Oreochromis niloticus: one gene and its partner. The protein of the gene in region 2 purifies or fractionates together with the protein of the main gene of each other region. This does not show direct contact. Links are inferred from orthologs where the notes say so. Each region holds a gene or a part of one and is shown on either strand. Other genes may lie near its edges.

Region 1 (7,881 bases), on a different chromosome or scaffold from region 2:
TGTAGTAAATAAAATTGATTTCCTCATCCTACAGACGTCAGTCCCTCCCCAGAATGGCGTCCCCTCCTGCCACTCAGGTGCCATCAAGAGTAGTGGAGAAAGAGGAGAGAGTGGCTCCACCAGTCCAGCGTGAACAGAGGGAGAAAACAAGAACGGCGACCACAACAACCACAACGACGACAAAAGAACCACGAGAGAGGAAAGAGCTCTCAGCTGCTGTGCCTAAAGCTGAGGAGAAGGAGAAAAACCGGGACACCGAGAAAGAGAGGGAAAAGGAGAAGCGGGTGCAGCCGCAGCAGGAGAAAGTGGAGAAACGTGCGGCGGAGCGAGGTAGGACGAAGGAAGACAGGAAAGTGGTGGAGAGGAAGGAGAAGGAAAAGGCCGAGCGACCACCCAAGTCCAAGCCAGCCAAGGTGAAGGCAGAGCCGCCGCCCAAGAAGAGGAAGAAGTGGCTCAAGGAAGTACCTTCATCATCTGACTCAGACTCATCGGACGAGGCAGCTAGCGAAAATGAAAGTGAGACCCTGTTTTAATTCTTTCACTGTAGATGTGTTTGTTTTGGGGTTTTTTTTTCTTATTTTAATTAGAGTGATGGTAGAAGGCTCTGTTTAAAACTGGTTCTCACCCACAGTGCCAGTGAAAGGTGGAGTGAACAACCGTGCCATGAGGGAGATGTTCAGGAGTTACGTGGAGATGCTGGTGAGCACAGCCCTGGACCCTGACATGATCCAAGCCCTGGAGGATACAGACGGTGAGAACCGCACACACATCCTCCTCAACATAATTACCAGTTTTATGTTAACTGAAAAATAAAGAAATAATTATCAGATGCAATTATTAAGTGAGAATCTCTGCTCTAACTGGTCTGGTAGCTCACTTTTCTCTAGCTTAAATATCTGCATTGAAACAACTGGATGTAGGCATTTTCATAAGCAGAAAGTTTGGGCAGGTTGAGTAAACATCACCGTTTCTGTCAAGTATCAACTGCCAGGCTTTAGGTTGAAGCCTCCGGCTGGACAAACAGCCCACACGTTATGAGTTTATGAGCAGTTCAGATAAACCAGTTGTGACAGGTTAGGGGGGGAAGCCCTGGGAGTGCATGAAGTACAGCAGCCAGAGAGACCTGCTTTCAGTTGGCTGCTGGCATTAAAATGATTGGCAGCTACATGAATGATGACTAATGAAACATCTTTTACCTTGATTGGCCATCAGATGAGCTCTACCTCCCTCCGATGAGGAAGATTGACAGCATCCTTAGCGAACAGAAGAGGAGGTTGTTGAGGAGAGTCAGCATGAGCTCTCAACACCAGGTAATCTTCTGTGAATGTGCTGCTTATTTTTCTGTCCCTCTGGCTCACATAATAGAAGGTAATAAAAGTATTTTACACTACTCTGTTTTACCGTCTGTAAAATACACTGATGTTTGTGTTGGAAGAAACCTATTTACACTTTACACAAAGTCAAAGTGTCTTAAGAGGTATTTCATTTTCTTCTGGATGGCTCTTATATCATGTTAGTCACCTCCAGCTTACGATAATGCCATTTCTGCTCCCTGTGCTACTTTTGTTCACCCGAGACTCAGATTGCAGAAGGTTGCCACAACACACCAAAACATTAGTTTGTCATAACAAGAAGATTCTAATGAGGAAAAAAACCTGTTTCGTTTATGGAAATGAGAGGATGCAAATTTAATGACGGATGCCTTAAGGGTAACAATTACCCCTGGTGGTTAAAACTGGTGGATGGATCTCATGCTTGACTTGACATGATGTTGTTTACTTGTTTGAGCTTAAAAGCTGTTAAATCTGCATAAAAAGTATTATATTTTTAACCAATTCATATCTGTAGACATCAGAATTTCAGTATTTTCTTGGTTTAGTTAGGTTTTTATTTGAAAATGTTTTTGTTTTAGTTGAGCTTTTATTAGTTTAAGTGTTACTCCTAGTATTTTTAATTGTATGGAGGGCATATGCAAAGCACTAGACTAACAGATTACTGACACTAAGGGTATTTTCTTAATAATATTTTAGTTTAATTTTTAGTTTAAAAATATAGTATTTTTGTTTTAGTTGACTACAATGGTTTTTCATCCAGTTTTAGTTTTGAGTTTAATTTTAGCCAACTAATAACCTTGGTAGACCCTGTAACAGGATGCCTGCAGGTAAATGAAATTGGTTTAGTTCATTTATTTCATGATCCTCAAACTCGAGGACACTGGTGTTTTTTGTGTGACTGTTTTGTGGCTGTTCCTCACTGCCCCTCTCTCTACAGGAGGTCCTGCATGCTTACCCCCAGATCATTGTGGACCCCCTGGATTCAGGAGTGGTGAGGGTCCGGCTAAGCGGCGATGCTTACAACCGCAAGACCCTCAACAGAGTCAAGAAGACCCTGCCTAAACCACAGGTATGCATTATTTTGTGTTTGCTAAACGCTATGAATAGTTAGAAATCCCAGCATATAGCAGTACATCTGTGCACAGTTCTGTGAAATTTTGTGTGACTATAAATTTTGCCAATCACAAAAAAGCCTTGAACCACAATAGACACTGAAATCACTGCACTGACAGAATTAATCATTACTGTAAAGGGTGGTAGGTGGACACAAACACCTGTTGCAAGTTTCCAAACCCAGAACAGCAACACTTAATTTTACTTTACTTTTTTTTTCCTTAAATAAATAAAATTGACCCCAGCAATAATCCGAGTTCTTTTTAATAGGACCTTAAATTGTCAGCCGAGTCTTATCGGATCTACAGTCTCTACCACTCCCTGCATCATTATAAATACCACACCTTCTTACAGTGCAAGAAAGAGGTAAGAAACCATGTCGTTTCTGTTCATTTTGAAGCTTCTACTGACGTGTGTTTGGTTTGGTTACAATTGTCTCTCCTTCCATCCCATTCTCCCAGACCAACACCATTGAGCAGGCAGCTGAGGACCCAGGCCAAGAGGAAGTGGTGCAGCAGTGCATGGCCAACCAGAACTGGCTGGACAGCCTCTTCAGCTCCTTCATCGAGCTGCTCACGCTCAGCACCAAAGCCTGATTCAGCCACATAAAGACACAGACAGTGAATTAAAGTAAGAGTATTTGAAACAAAAAGAAAATACAGAAAAAGGAAAGAGATGGATCCTACTGTACAGCCCCCTCCCCCTCCCCTCTTCAAATCTCTAAGGCCCTTGATGAACACGAGAGGGTCTGTTGACGTGACCTTGGACACTGGCCTGTTTTTTGTTTTTGTTTTTTTTTATTTGTTTGTTTTTTGTTTTCTTGTTGTTGATCAATGACTAAAGAAACGTCTTACTTTGTGAGAAGGGGACCCCCACTCGTGGTCACGGGGCACCGAAGGGTCAAGAGGAAACTGATTGTTTTACGAAAAAAAAGGGAGAGAGGCAAGGTGGAAGGACAAAGAGGAGGATCGCCAAGTCAACGTGGGAGCCACTGACATCCTGTTAACTGTGTGTCATAAAGACAATAGCTCAAAGAGAAACTATTACCGCTTAGTTTTTACATAAATTATTTTTTGAAAAGACTAACATCAGCTGTTGGCTTTTGAAAAGATTAGAGGAGGGCGAGGATGCTTTTTAAAAACCGCGTGCGCAGCAAGCAGCGTGATCGGGGACTCACTCGTCGGCAGATAGAAACCTGAAATGTGTTAATAAACGCTCTCTCTCTATCGCTATCTCTCATTCTGTGCTATGTGAAGGGCAGCACCAGTCAGCTGTGTGATAATATATAAACACATTTTTATTATTTATATGAGGAGGTTTTTAACTTAAGCTCTCACAAGTGCTGGTTTGCTGCCCTTAATTGCTTTTTTTTTTTTTTTTTTTTTTTTTTTTTTTTAAAAGAGTTGTTTTCCACAGGTTCAGTATACAATCATAACCCACATATCCAAGTCGTCTTCCCCTCTATCCAAAAAGACCAGACGTTGAGACAGACATGTATCAAATACAGTGGGTGTAAAATAACAGCAAAAGGAAAAAAAAAACAAAAAACGGAAGGGAAAAAAGGAGACTGGCAAAAATCTATTTGACTCTTTACATTGTTGTGCTTCAGTTCAATCATCATTCATGCAGGTGCAAAGAAAAAGAAGTAAACTGTCCATCTCCCACGCGGGAAGGAGGAGTATAAACGAGGAATATTTAAACATGAGATAGGCATTTCATTTTTATCATTTTGATGTTTGTGCATACTATGACTTATTTTGAAAACAATCTAATTTTCCATAAAAAAGGAAAAAAAAGATGTGTAAATACTGTACAGTTCTTGATGAAATTCTTTGTCCTTCTGTACATTAACTCTCCTGTATTTGAGAAACAAATAAAAGCTGCAAAGAACAAATGGTTTCATTTCCCTATATATGCACACACATACATATGGCTGTGCATGTGTGTCCATCCATATTAGCAGGGACATTTCAACTTATTGAGACCTTAAGAGGAAGGTCTGTTTGGGTGGCTCTTAAATTTAAAATGAAAGTCCCAGTTTACACAAAAATGTGCTCAACTTCTAGTCCTACTTGGCTGTTTTGACACAAATCAAAAAGGACAGAAGTTTCTGTATTGCAGTTCACCCAGGTATACGTTTTTCGAATTTGGTACCAACCGATGTACTTTCCATAAAGACATTAATTTTCAAAGCAGGGTATTTCCATTTGTCTTAATTGTTTACCTCAGAGGGATTAGATGTGCATTATGCCAGTGTGTGTGTGTGTGTGTGTGTGTGTGTAACCCCTCCTAGCGGGACCAGCTGGTATGAACCCGTCGTGACGTCACATCTGGAAAACGAAACCGTGAACTCGGAGTTTCCCGAGAAAGACTTGTTAGCCGGAAAGCAGCCGCACTCAGGGCAGTGTTTAAAGGATCTGCAGCGGGGACGGTATGTGACAGTTTGGAGCACAGCTTGAAGCGACACGACACACAGCTACCGTACAGCCGTCACTGTACTGATTTCTGCACCCAGGAAACGCTCTGACTTTCAAGTCAACGCTCATCTGCACCGACTGAAACGTCATCACTGAAGGTGGGAGAGTTTTTGTTGTTAGCGCTGGCACCGCTGTCCCAGAGTGGGATCAATACAAAGGTTACTACTATAACTACAGCATTGTTCAAAGACTGTACTCGTTTCCGATCCTGGAGTGTTTGCACTTGAGTATGTTTGGTTCAGGGAGCTGTAAGGACCGCTTATGCTCTACTTTGACGACAGTTAAACAACAAGACTAGCCTAAATAACTGTTATTATTAAAATATGACCTAAAATAATGAAAATAAATGCTGTGTGGAAGATTTTTAGGATTATATAAATACTTTCATATATTAAATTACACTTTAATACATTATAAGCACTTAGTATTTAGTATTATTACACTTTAATACTATTTTATATTATCGTAAGTAATGTCGTTAATTAGTTAATTAATTTTTATAATTACACCGTTTCTACTGTTGCTGAACAGCTGTTGTCTATGTGCCCGCTTCCTCTTTCATGCAACTCAGAATTGGCAATAAAAACCTGTAATCGTCCCAGCTGCACGACAGCTTTCCTGACATCCGGATGTTCATGCTCAGGCATTTTTTCTTCTTCTTAAACCTTTGACAGTCTAATGCATATTTGATCATCTAATTGAAACCTTCATTTAAATTGGGCCCTTTTTTCTGTTAACTCACTCATGCTAATATAATAGTGTCAGTTATAGATTACTTTTTTGCTGTTGCTGCATGAGGTGTGAGACTAAATAGCACCATCTGCAGGCAAGCATGGAATTATAGTTCAAATGAATGCATAATCTAAAAAAGAAAATTAATTATAAATAAATATGAATATACTGTTCTTGAGTATTTTGTTAGAGCACTACTCAATGTAAGGTTTATGCCAAAGTACTGGTAATTACCAAAATATGTATTTTTTTTATATTTCTGTAAATTTAATCAACCAGTCTGCGCTCTTTAATCAAAATCATATTTTTAGTGTAAAAATATAAGTATTGTTGTCATGTGTGATTTTTAAAATGTACTGTTTTACAAAAAAAAGCAGAAAAAGTAGGAAGGTAAATGATTATTTTTGGATTAAGATGCAAAATTACAGTTATTTATTTTCATTCCTGAACAAAAAATGAGTTTGAGTGTTTTTTATGCTTTATTAATTCCTGACTTTCAGAGATGACCAGTGTGCCGATTAAAATTTGGATATAAAAACGTGAATTCAGTTTGTTGTTTACTGAATAAATATGAGTCAAAGTTTTTGAGAGATTTCTATTTTTTTGTTTGTTTTCTTCTTTTTATGACTGGTGAGCTACTAAATTTGTCTGTATGTAAATAATTATATAGATCTAACCTCCAGTACAGACAAGCTATTTTAATGAACTGCCTGAATGAAGGAATAGCCTACATCACATCCAAGTTACTATACAGTGATTGTTCATATGATAGCAAAAGAGTACAGGATCAGTAAGTGGTACATCAGGCTGTGATGACAGAGCTCACGTTATATTTTGTCTTATTGTAGAAATGGCTCATTCAAAACCGCTGCTCATCCCGTGGCTGCGGGAACAGATTAACAGCAACAAATATCCTGGTGTCCAGTGGACAAACCCAGAGCAAACAAAGTTCTGCATCCCGTGGAAACACGCTTTGAGACAGGACTCCTCTGACACTGACATTCTCATCTTTAAGGTAACCATCAGGGTCTGACATGACATGACAATCTAATAGAAACCAGTCATGAGCATGAATTTGATATCAGCTATCCGTCCATCTTCTGCTTATCTCATTCTTTGTCCACTAATCCGTTCTTTGTTAGTCTTTAGCCTGTTCATATCAGCAGTTTCTTCCGGCGTTCATCCTGGTTTTGCTTCGCAGGCCTGGGCGGAGGTGAGCGGCAGCGGCCGGGCTAATGGAGACCCCTCAGTCTGGAAGAGGAACTTCCGCAGCGCCCTACGAGCTAAAGGCTTCAAAATGCTGGATGACAAGAAGAATGACGCTGCTAACCCCCATAAAGTCTTTCAGTGGCCGGACGAGTCAGCGTCAAAAGGTGAGGACCTGCTGACCATTTGGATCTTAGTTACAGTCGATAGAAAGCAAATTCAAAAGAAATTGTTTGCTTATTTCAAGCAAACTCTGCTGTTTTGGCACTCAAAATGCACAGGAAAAAAAAAAGATCAGCAAGATGTTATGCTTTATACTTATTTTATAACTGCAATCAATCAATTTCATATTGCATTTGCAATTTAAATCTGATAATGCAGTTGTGCACCGCATGCTCAGTTCCTGTCTGTCCATGCAGCACATTTTGCATACACTCGTGTCTCTGTATCTCTAACTGACATGTTTCTCAGAAAATAAAATAAATGCTTGTTTTCACTCCTGAAGCTAACTCGTGTGCTGGATCCCAGGAACAAGATGGGGCTGATTTGCTTGCAGGTCTGGGCATTTCCATTCAAGAGGTGAGACTGCTCTGTTGGATTGTTTTACCTGTAATAGGACAGATGGTAACAAAAAAGAGGTATTACTGAAATGCTGGGTATTGATGTAAGTGTATAAGATGTGTATTGGTGTTATCCCAGTCCCAGGGCGTCCACTATTTAGAAGGATGTCTCCTCCTTCCAGAAGACGCTGTGTTTTCGGGTGAGAGCAATCGCCTTTTTCATTGGATTTAGAAGGGGAACATTAGTCTGCCGCTTATTAGCGACAATCGCCATCTGAGTGTGTCTGAACTGGTCCATATCTGCCAGCAGAATCTGCTGCCAGCCCGGATATTCTCCAGGAGTGTCTCAAAGGAATGAACATCGGCCCTGAAGCAGGTAGGCTTATCAGCTCTGCTTATCATTTTCCTCCTCGCTGCTGCTGCAGTCAGAGCAGAAAACAAAGAGTATCCGAGGTACTT
Region 2 (7,849 bases):
CCTCCTGCCACCGACAAACACCTCCAGGTGATACACCGACCCCTACACACTTCTGCAGGTGATACACTGACCCTGTCAGTGACCCCCCTCAAATGTTTTTGTGTTTCAGGTCAACTCCAGGGACAATCAGCTGTCCTGTGTGTCTGGACGGATACTCAGAGGTCAGTCACACCTGTGTGTGTGTGTGTGTGTGTGTGTGTGTGTGTGTGTGTGTGTGTGTGTGTAGGGCTGTTCGATATAACGATATATATCGGATGACGATAGAAAAACGTCTATCGCTTCATTTTACGCTATCGTTTGTTTCGTGGTGTCGCAAAATAAACTGTTTACGGCAATATTTTTTCATCATTTTGATGGTCACTGTAGTGGCTATATTAATTTCTTAAAGTTCTCTCTTTCTCTTATTCTCTTATATTTAATATAACCACACTACAGACGGACAAGCGCTTGTTTTTTATGCGTTTTCGTTAGCAACAACAACGGTAAAACCACCTTGTGTCCGCTTGTTTATTTTCCACATAAACCTTTCACAATAAAGCTCAAGATCCTGTTGAGGCTTTTCAAAATAAAACGAGTCACGTGAAAGATGCAGAGTATTAACGGATGAGAAGCAAAAAAGAGCCGCCAGGTGCTAAAAAATAAACCTTAGACTCAAACGTTAGAACAGACTTTTCTTCGCAGCACGCTGTGTAATAAATACTCACAAAGAAAACGGCGGCTGTTACAACTTACGTCTAAAAATGTATAGTTCCATGCATCAGTTAACACACTCGACTCCAGGTACACGACGCCCAGCTGGAAACACTTCACGCAAGTCGAGATGCCCGAGATTCACAGAATTTACAGGAAATGTTACATTTTTGTAATTTATATCGTTATATCGACGATAGATGTCTTAATATCGGGATATGAGATTTTGGTCATATCGCACAGCCCTATGTGTGTGTGTTCAGACTGTTCAGCATGAATAAAGCAGAAAAATGAACTTTACTGACACAGAGTGCCAGCAGCGAGGTTCTTTCTTTATCCTGCTGCACATGCTCAGTGTGAGCTCCGAGGACGCTTCCTTCAGGGTGAGCGTGCTCAGAAAGTATACAAACACATAACATCCTTATAGAAAATGATGTAACACTATAGATCAACTTACCTCAGAATATATAAAGCATATAAACAATTACAGCAATAGGATGCAACAAACACAGCAGTGCTACTAATCCAAAATACTCAAAGCTTCATAGAACTGAAACAAACATTTATTTTTAGCTCCATTCTGCTGCTGATACATACTTTAGGTTTCTGAATATTAAACTTGTTGCTGCCTTTCATAGTGTGTAACTTGAAGGCCCTGAGTACTTTCTCCCACACTGAAAACACTGGAATAATCAAATGATTTGAACATTACCTAATAAGACTGATTCAGGACAGACAATTAGTTCTTTTAAACTTTCCTAGCAGTCCTTCACAAACAGGGAACAGTCTGTCTATTCTCTCAATCTGTCAGCTGCTGCTGGCTCTTCCTCCTCCTCTTCCTCACACACTGCTGAGTTTGTCCTGGTGGATCATCAGGGGTGCAAAGCCTCACAGATGATGTGCAGCAGTGGGTCCCTCAGTCTGTCCTCACTCTGGACACTTGCAGTTGTCACACATGGAAATCAAATGTGCGATAAGCTGCAGGATTCAAACACAAGTGTAACTTATAAATACATGTTCATACTTTTATTCCACAATCAGAGAGAAAGAAACAGAGAGAGAGTGCAGGACAGACAGACAGGTGACAGTCTCAGGTGTATACACTGCTACAAAACAGCACAAGAGAAGGAGGATTTAGTGTTTGTGTTATTACGAGTACTAAACAAGAAGAGTTCCCAGATGGTCCAGTGGACACATGTGTGACTCCTGTGATTAAAGCATCTTTCTTTCAGCTTAACGAGTGAACCGTCAGCTCGTTCAAACACACGTTAAAGTCCGTTTGGCTCGACGCCACCGAACAGAGGCAGCAATATAACATAGCTAACATTAACAGTGCAGTGAATCCTGCTTGTGCCATCATATTCAGGACTGCAAACCGAGCAGCATTCACTAGCTGTGTCCCAAAACCTAGGCTGTATCCTCCTGAGGCGGCATTTGAACGACGTGAGGTAGGCTGTCCCAAATTGAAGACTCCTCCAAATGCGTCCTTCATTTTCCGAGATTTTGAAGGATGGGTCGGGTGTGTCCTTCGTGGCCCACCGTATCCCAGAATTCATAGCACGGCCCAGTCAATTCCAGTTTAGTTTAATATTACTCTTATTAATCTTTCTGGGTCACAAAATAAACTTTTAACATATTTCCAGGCGAGAAAGTAGCTGTGTAAACTTCAAATATCTGCTTGGTTTATCAAGAAATCGCATAATTGCAAAAGCGCGACGTTTTTGGAGATGTCTGTTACCCACCGGCTCGATAGCTAGCCGGGAGGTCGAGGCTCACTAGAGAACAGCAGACACCCGGCACATCGTTATCAGACCCGCCGCCGTCTTTGGCTACTCAGGTTAAACATGATATACAAGTCATTCAGATAACTTAAATGTTATTTTGTTTGGCTTTTTTCACTGTTTTATTTGTTCCGGAGTAAATCGGTTTGGCTGAGATAAAAGTTATTAGATTAGATAATAAAACTTTATTAATCCATCGGGAGGGTTCCTCGGGGGTTTTCACACAGCTGAATAAACGTCAAACAGAAAACTGATTAAACAAAGTGCGAGATTCAAGATTCAAAGTGTTTATTGTCATGTGTGTAGAAGAAATAGCTTTTCTCTGTGCAATGAAATTCTTCCTTTGCTGTCCATACAGAAGATGGTCGAGATGATCGAGAATTTACTCCAGTGTCCTGTTATATTTTAGATAGCAAGGAGCAGATGGCTGAGTTTATTCATGCCCATCGAGATGGCTGGTGACACAAATCTGAAGGCTAGACCGTCCCCTTTCACAGCCTCTCACTTCCGGCCTTCTCGGTCTTCGGAGGACCCAGCTCACATAGACCACGAAGCCCGGGTCCTCCGAAGGATGCGGCCTAGGAATTGGGACACAGCTAGTGTGAGCTCTGAGTAACCTTCAAGATCGACTTTACAGCCCTCAGCTCGCTGCTGATTTAATGCAGGGGACGCTTCCTTCAGTGTGAGCGTGCTCAGAACAAATTGGTGTTGGTGACTCGAGTGTGTCTAAAAAATAGTCCAGCACAATGCTTGATGAGATGTGTGCTTCCTGAGGCATTGTGGGTAATGAAATACAGGCTTTACTACATTCACATGGCCACTGATCAGTGAACCTAATCAATAAACATACATATCCTGACTCTTATTTTGAAACTTTCAGTGTGGTTTTGTGTTTTACTTTGAAAGTATTACAGTGATGTTTGAGTGCATTGCTCTGATTGGCTGTTGTGGGTTTTGTTTTTTTGTTTTTTGTTGTTTTTTTTTTTAATTTCTTTGTTCGCTTCTTTTTTTCTTTTTTTTTTTCTTTTTCTTTTTTTTTTCGCAGATCGTTGGGAGCGGCCGATTGGTCGTGTCCACCCGTTGTGGTCACGTGTTCTGCAGTCAGTGTTTGAGAGACTCTCTGACATCATCACACACCTGTCCCACCTGCAGGAAGAGACTTACTCACCGCCAGTACCACCCCCTGTACATCTGACATCACTCTGAGACCACAGCTGAGTCCTGCTGCCATTGGACCACAGGCCATGATGTTGATATTATTTGCTGCTGAATTGTATTTTTTTCTTTTTTGTGTGTGCGCCTCTGTTTGGACATTAAAGTGTTCAGTCATAGCTGGTAAACATTATGGATTAATGATTCATGTGTATTGATTTGTTTGTTAAAGCTGAAATAAATTTTGATTTGTTTCACTCATTGATCAGCTGATGGATCTACAAAGTTACGGCAGTAATGTGGAGGAAAAATACTGCACAATGTACTTTCTGTAATCAGAGTACAGGAAGTACTCACACACGCACAGCACTGTTTTAGTCTGACTGTGTGTGTGTGTGTGTGTTGGGGAGGGTGCTTGCACTGATGAATCATGGGTAGTGGATCTTAGTCTTGTGACTCTGCGTCACCGTCTCCTGTCTGCAGTGACTCAGAGTCAGCTGCCTGAAGAGTTGCTGCTGATTGGCCGAGGCTGCCAGAAAAACAGATAAGTTTAATAGACATGAATACAAACGCGTCAAAGATCAATAAATCAGTCAGACCTAAGAACTTGGACACTCGTTCTGAAGTTTAAAACTTTATTTAAAATGTTTACTGGGTGTTTTTAGAGATAAAGGTTAAGTTATCAGTTGAAAGGTTTTATTGTCCAGATCTCAGGATCAGGTTTAAAACGCTTCAGTCACGTGACCATGAGCATATCTTTGGTTTTGATTGGAGAGTAAGCAGCAGAGCCAGAATGATTGATTTATTAATCCAAACCCCGTCAGCTGTGAGCTCTGATCAGTCCGCCTGATTATTGATGATCAGTTTCATGTCGAAAGCCTGCTCTGTGATCAGGTATTGAAACCGTCTTGTAACGATGACTTTGCGATATTTTATTATGAACTTTAAACAGGTCACATGACTCAGGGAAAGTACCTCATTGGAAAGCCGTCGAGTCATTCCTCGGCTGCCATTGGTCCTGTGGGCGGGACTCTGAGAAAAAGCCAATAGAAGGCCGAATCTGTGTTTACTTCCCTGACGTCACATACGTCGTTTCCCACGTCTGTCGCGGAAGTAAACATAAAGCAGAGCGAGAGATTTCAAAGTGCGTCACAAACTCACCAACTCCTGGACCTGGACACCTCTCAGCGGACATAGACAGAGATAAACCCGGCCTCCGGTTGACTATCAGCGAACAACACGCAGACATACACCCAGCCTCCGGTTGACGATCAGCGGACAGAGACACAGGTGTACCCGGTGTCAGTGGCAGGATGTCGGTGACTGTGAAGGCCTACCTGCTGGGGAAGGACGAGGCGGTGAAGGAGATCCGCAGGTTCGCGGTTGATCAGGACGTATCCTGCAGCTTCGAGTACCTGAGCAGGAAAACTGCGGACGTGTTTGGAAACCTGAACAACTTCAACCTGTTTTACCGAGGTGAGCGCGCGGGGGTTCAGATGAGGGAATTACACTCTGATCGCTTCCTGGATTGTTATTGACTTAAGTTGCGACTGTAAGAGTGGGGACGTAACTGAGTTAGTGCGCAGGCGCACACTCACCTGACCAGACTCACCGGTTTCCCTGTAAACGCATGAAACCATAATCCGCTGTTGAATTAATCTTTATTTATAGTCATGTAAACGGACAAACACCCTCAAAGTTAGTCTGGAATTAGAAAGTCACCTGCAGCCTTTGTAGTTCACCAGCGTGTGACTAATGATGATGATGATGATGATGATGATGCAGATGAAGATGGGGACCTGGTGGCCTTCTCCTCTGATGATGAGCTGATGATGGGTCTGGGGTGCATGAAGGACTCCACCTTCCGCCTCTTCATCCGAGGTATGTTTGCGGTTTGTATAAATGTTATTGCTCGCTGTATCTGTCCTCCAGCTGTGCTAATAAAGCTTCATTCTTACAGAGAAGAAGGAGCACAGACGGGACTTCCCTCTCCATGCCTTCCCTCCCTTTGCCTTTGGGCCTCCCCCTCCCCCTGCTGGAGGTCCTCCACCTCCCCATGCTGGAGGTCCTCCACCTCCCCATGCTGGAGGTCCTCATGCCCCGCCCCATGGGCCACACATGGGTCCGCCTCCTCCTCATGTGGCCCCACCCTACGCCATGCACCCCAACGTTACCTGTGATGGCTGCGATGGCCCTGTGATCGGGACCCGCTTCAAGTGTTCAGTGTGTCCGAACTACGACCTCTGCTCCTCCTGCCAGGCTAAGGGGAAGCACACTGAGCACGCTCTACTGCCCATTTGGCATCCACTGCAGGTGAGTCTACCTGTGCAGGTCTGCAGGTGTCCTGTTCAGGCCCTTCAAAACATGACTGTGAGGCTGTGTTTTTCAGTGGTTTCCTCGGGGGAAGTGGATGAAGAGGATGAGACACTGCATGTGGAACCTGAACCAGAACCAGGCTCAGAACCAGGACAACGACCAGGACCAGAACGAGTCTAGCCCTTCTAAACCTGCTGCTGATGCCAACACCCCCTCTGGTGAGTTCTGCCATCTTGGTTAAAGTGATACTTGATCAATAAGTCAGATCAGAGCAGATAAGGTCAGGAAACGATGTACAAGAGGGAAAATGCAGCAACATTTCAAAATAAAAAGGCTGTGTGCGGACTGAATGGTCATGACATCAGAGCCGCGTTTGTGTGGCCCTTTAAACATCCTGTCACAGCACTAAAATAATGTTATGTGTGACATCTGTGTGATTTTAAAACATCTTTCATTTCTCCCTGCAGGCTCTCAGACCAATGTGGACTTCCTGAAGAACATTGGCGAGGGTGTGGCAGCCATGTTGAGCCCACTAGGTGAGTGTCAGCCTTATTTAAACAGTTGTTTGATGCTGTAAGGTAAAGACTAAGACGTCACTGTGTTTGTGCATGTGAGATGAGTGAACATCTCTAGCTGGCTCTAAAACAGGAAGTGGTGCGTGTGTTTTACACAGGTATCGATGTGGACATCGACGTGGAGCACGAGGGCCAACGGACCAAGGTGACCCCACCTACTCAGAGTGGGGGGGGTGAGGGCGATGAGGAGATGGAGCATACGAGCAGTGAGGGCGGGGCCAGTCTGGGAGCAAAGGTAACTTTTATTTTTATAAAACCTCAAAGTGCTTCATGATGTAAATATCAGAAGAAAGAACAATCAGCTGATCCTGACGGGACAGCAGGGAGGAAGAACTCCCTTTTAACATCTCCTGTGACCTTGTAGCGTAGTGACCCTCAGGTGAGCAAGGACTCTGATGAGGAGTGGACCCACCTGAGCTCTAAAGAGGTCGACCCCTCCACAGGTGAACTGCAGTCCCTGCAGCCTGACAACCAGGAGCAGGGGCCCCTGTCTGAGGGGCAGGCGGGCCCCAGCGGGCTGAGGGAGGCGGCACTGTACCCACACCTGCCTCAAGGTAAGCTGGCGTCCACACTCGGTGACTTTAGTTCTGTTAGTACTGACCTCTAAACCCTGCTGACCTCTGACCTTTTGTCCTCAGAGGCCGATCCCCGCCTGGTTGAGTCGCTCGCCTCGATGCTCTCAATGGGCTTCACGGACGAAGGCGGCTGGCTCACCCGCCTCCTTCAGGCCAAGAACTTTGACATCGGCGCTGCGCTGGACGCCATCCAGTATGCCAAGCAGCCCCGCCCACACTAGCACTGATGATATCATCACGATGTCAGAACCTGCATCTGATTATTTCTACTCTGTTGTCTGAATGACAATCAATACTGTCCATTAATCAATGTTTCTGTTCTCTTTATTGATCATCCTATAAACGTTTCTGTGTGAGCAATAAAAGCATGAAGAAAAGCACAGTCTGTCAGAGTCTCCTCTTTAGAAACAAACAAATGCACGGTCACTCTGGGCGACGTTTAACAAGGAAGTCGTCGTCAAAGTTAAAGTCCTCGCCGCTGTCAAACATGGAGGTAACAGGAAGAAGAGGGCGGGGCCTGCTGATTATTCCAGCGCAGGAGGGAGCAGCGACACCGCTTAAAGACTGACTACACTCATGAACTGTAGGCTTCTCCCCCTCCTGCACCTTTGAGTCAGGGCTGAGGAAATGAGCCCACCTGGTGGTGGAGAGGGTGGGGCTACAGGTGTTCATGGTTGAAGGTGTTTGGAGTTTCATACAGTTTAGCTGCAGAGAAGAACAAAGGTTAAAGGTCAAGTGCATGACGAGGAGGCATTCTGCT

The links. Proteins that work in one complex are often made in the same cells at the same time.
Region 1: the proteins of sqstm1 (region 2) and irf3 purify together in Homo sapiens (affinity purification with western blotting; 4 studies listed by BioGRID). This does not show direct contact. The link is inferred for Oreochromis niloticus from reciprocal best matches to the Homo sapiens genes SQSTM1 and IRF3.

What each region holds. Positions count from the first base shown.
Region 1 is NC_031973.2:18,010,392-18,018,272, reverse strand, and holds the start of irf3 (interferon regulatory factor 3), read left to right. Parts: upstream 1-4,775; 5' UTR 4,776-5,022; intron 5,023-6,504; 5' UTR 6,505-6,506; coding exon 6,507-6,671; intron 6,672-6,857; coding exon 6,858-7,029; intron 7,030-7,367; coding exon 7,368-7,441; intron 7,442-7,561; coding exon 7,562-7,622; intron 7,623-7,732; coding exon 7,733-7,798; intron 7,799-7,881.
Region 2 is NC_031966.2:36,315,576-36,323,424, reverse strand, and holds sqstm1 (sequestosome-1), read left to right. Parts: upstream 1-4,757; 5' UTR 4,758-4,936; coding exon 4,937-5,099; intron 5,100-5,408; coding exon 5,409-5,504; intron 5,505-5,583; coding exon 5,584-5,936; intron 5,937-6,012; coding exon 6,013-6,157; intron 6,158-6,406; coding exon 6,407-6,475; intron 6,476-6,612; coding exon 6,613-6,749; intron 6,750-6,878; coding exon 6,879-7,068; intron 7,069-7,152; coding exon 7,153-7,310; 3' UTR 7,311-7,469; downstream 7,470-7,849. Other genes in the region: E3 ubiquitin-protein ligase RNF4, read left to right, coding at 1-27, 110-161, 3,517-3,666; uncharacterized protein mrnip, read right to left, coding at 7,513-7,794. UniProt on the Homo sapiens protein: Molecular adapter required for selective macroautophagy (aggrephagy) by acting as a bridge between polyubiquitinated proteins and autophagosomes.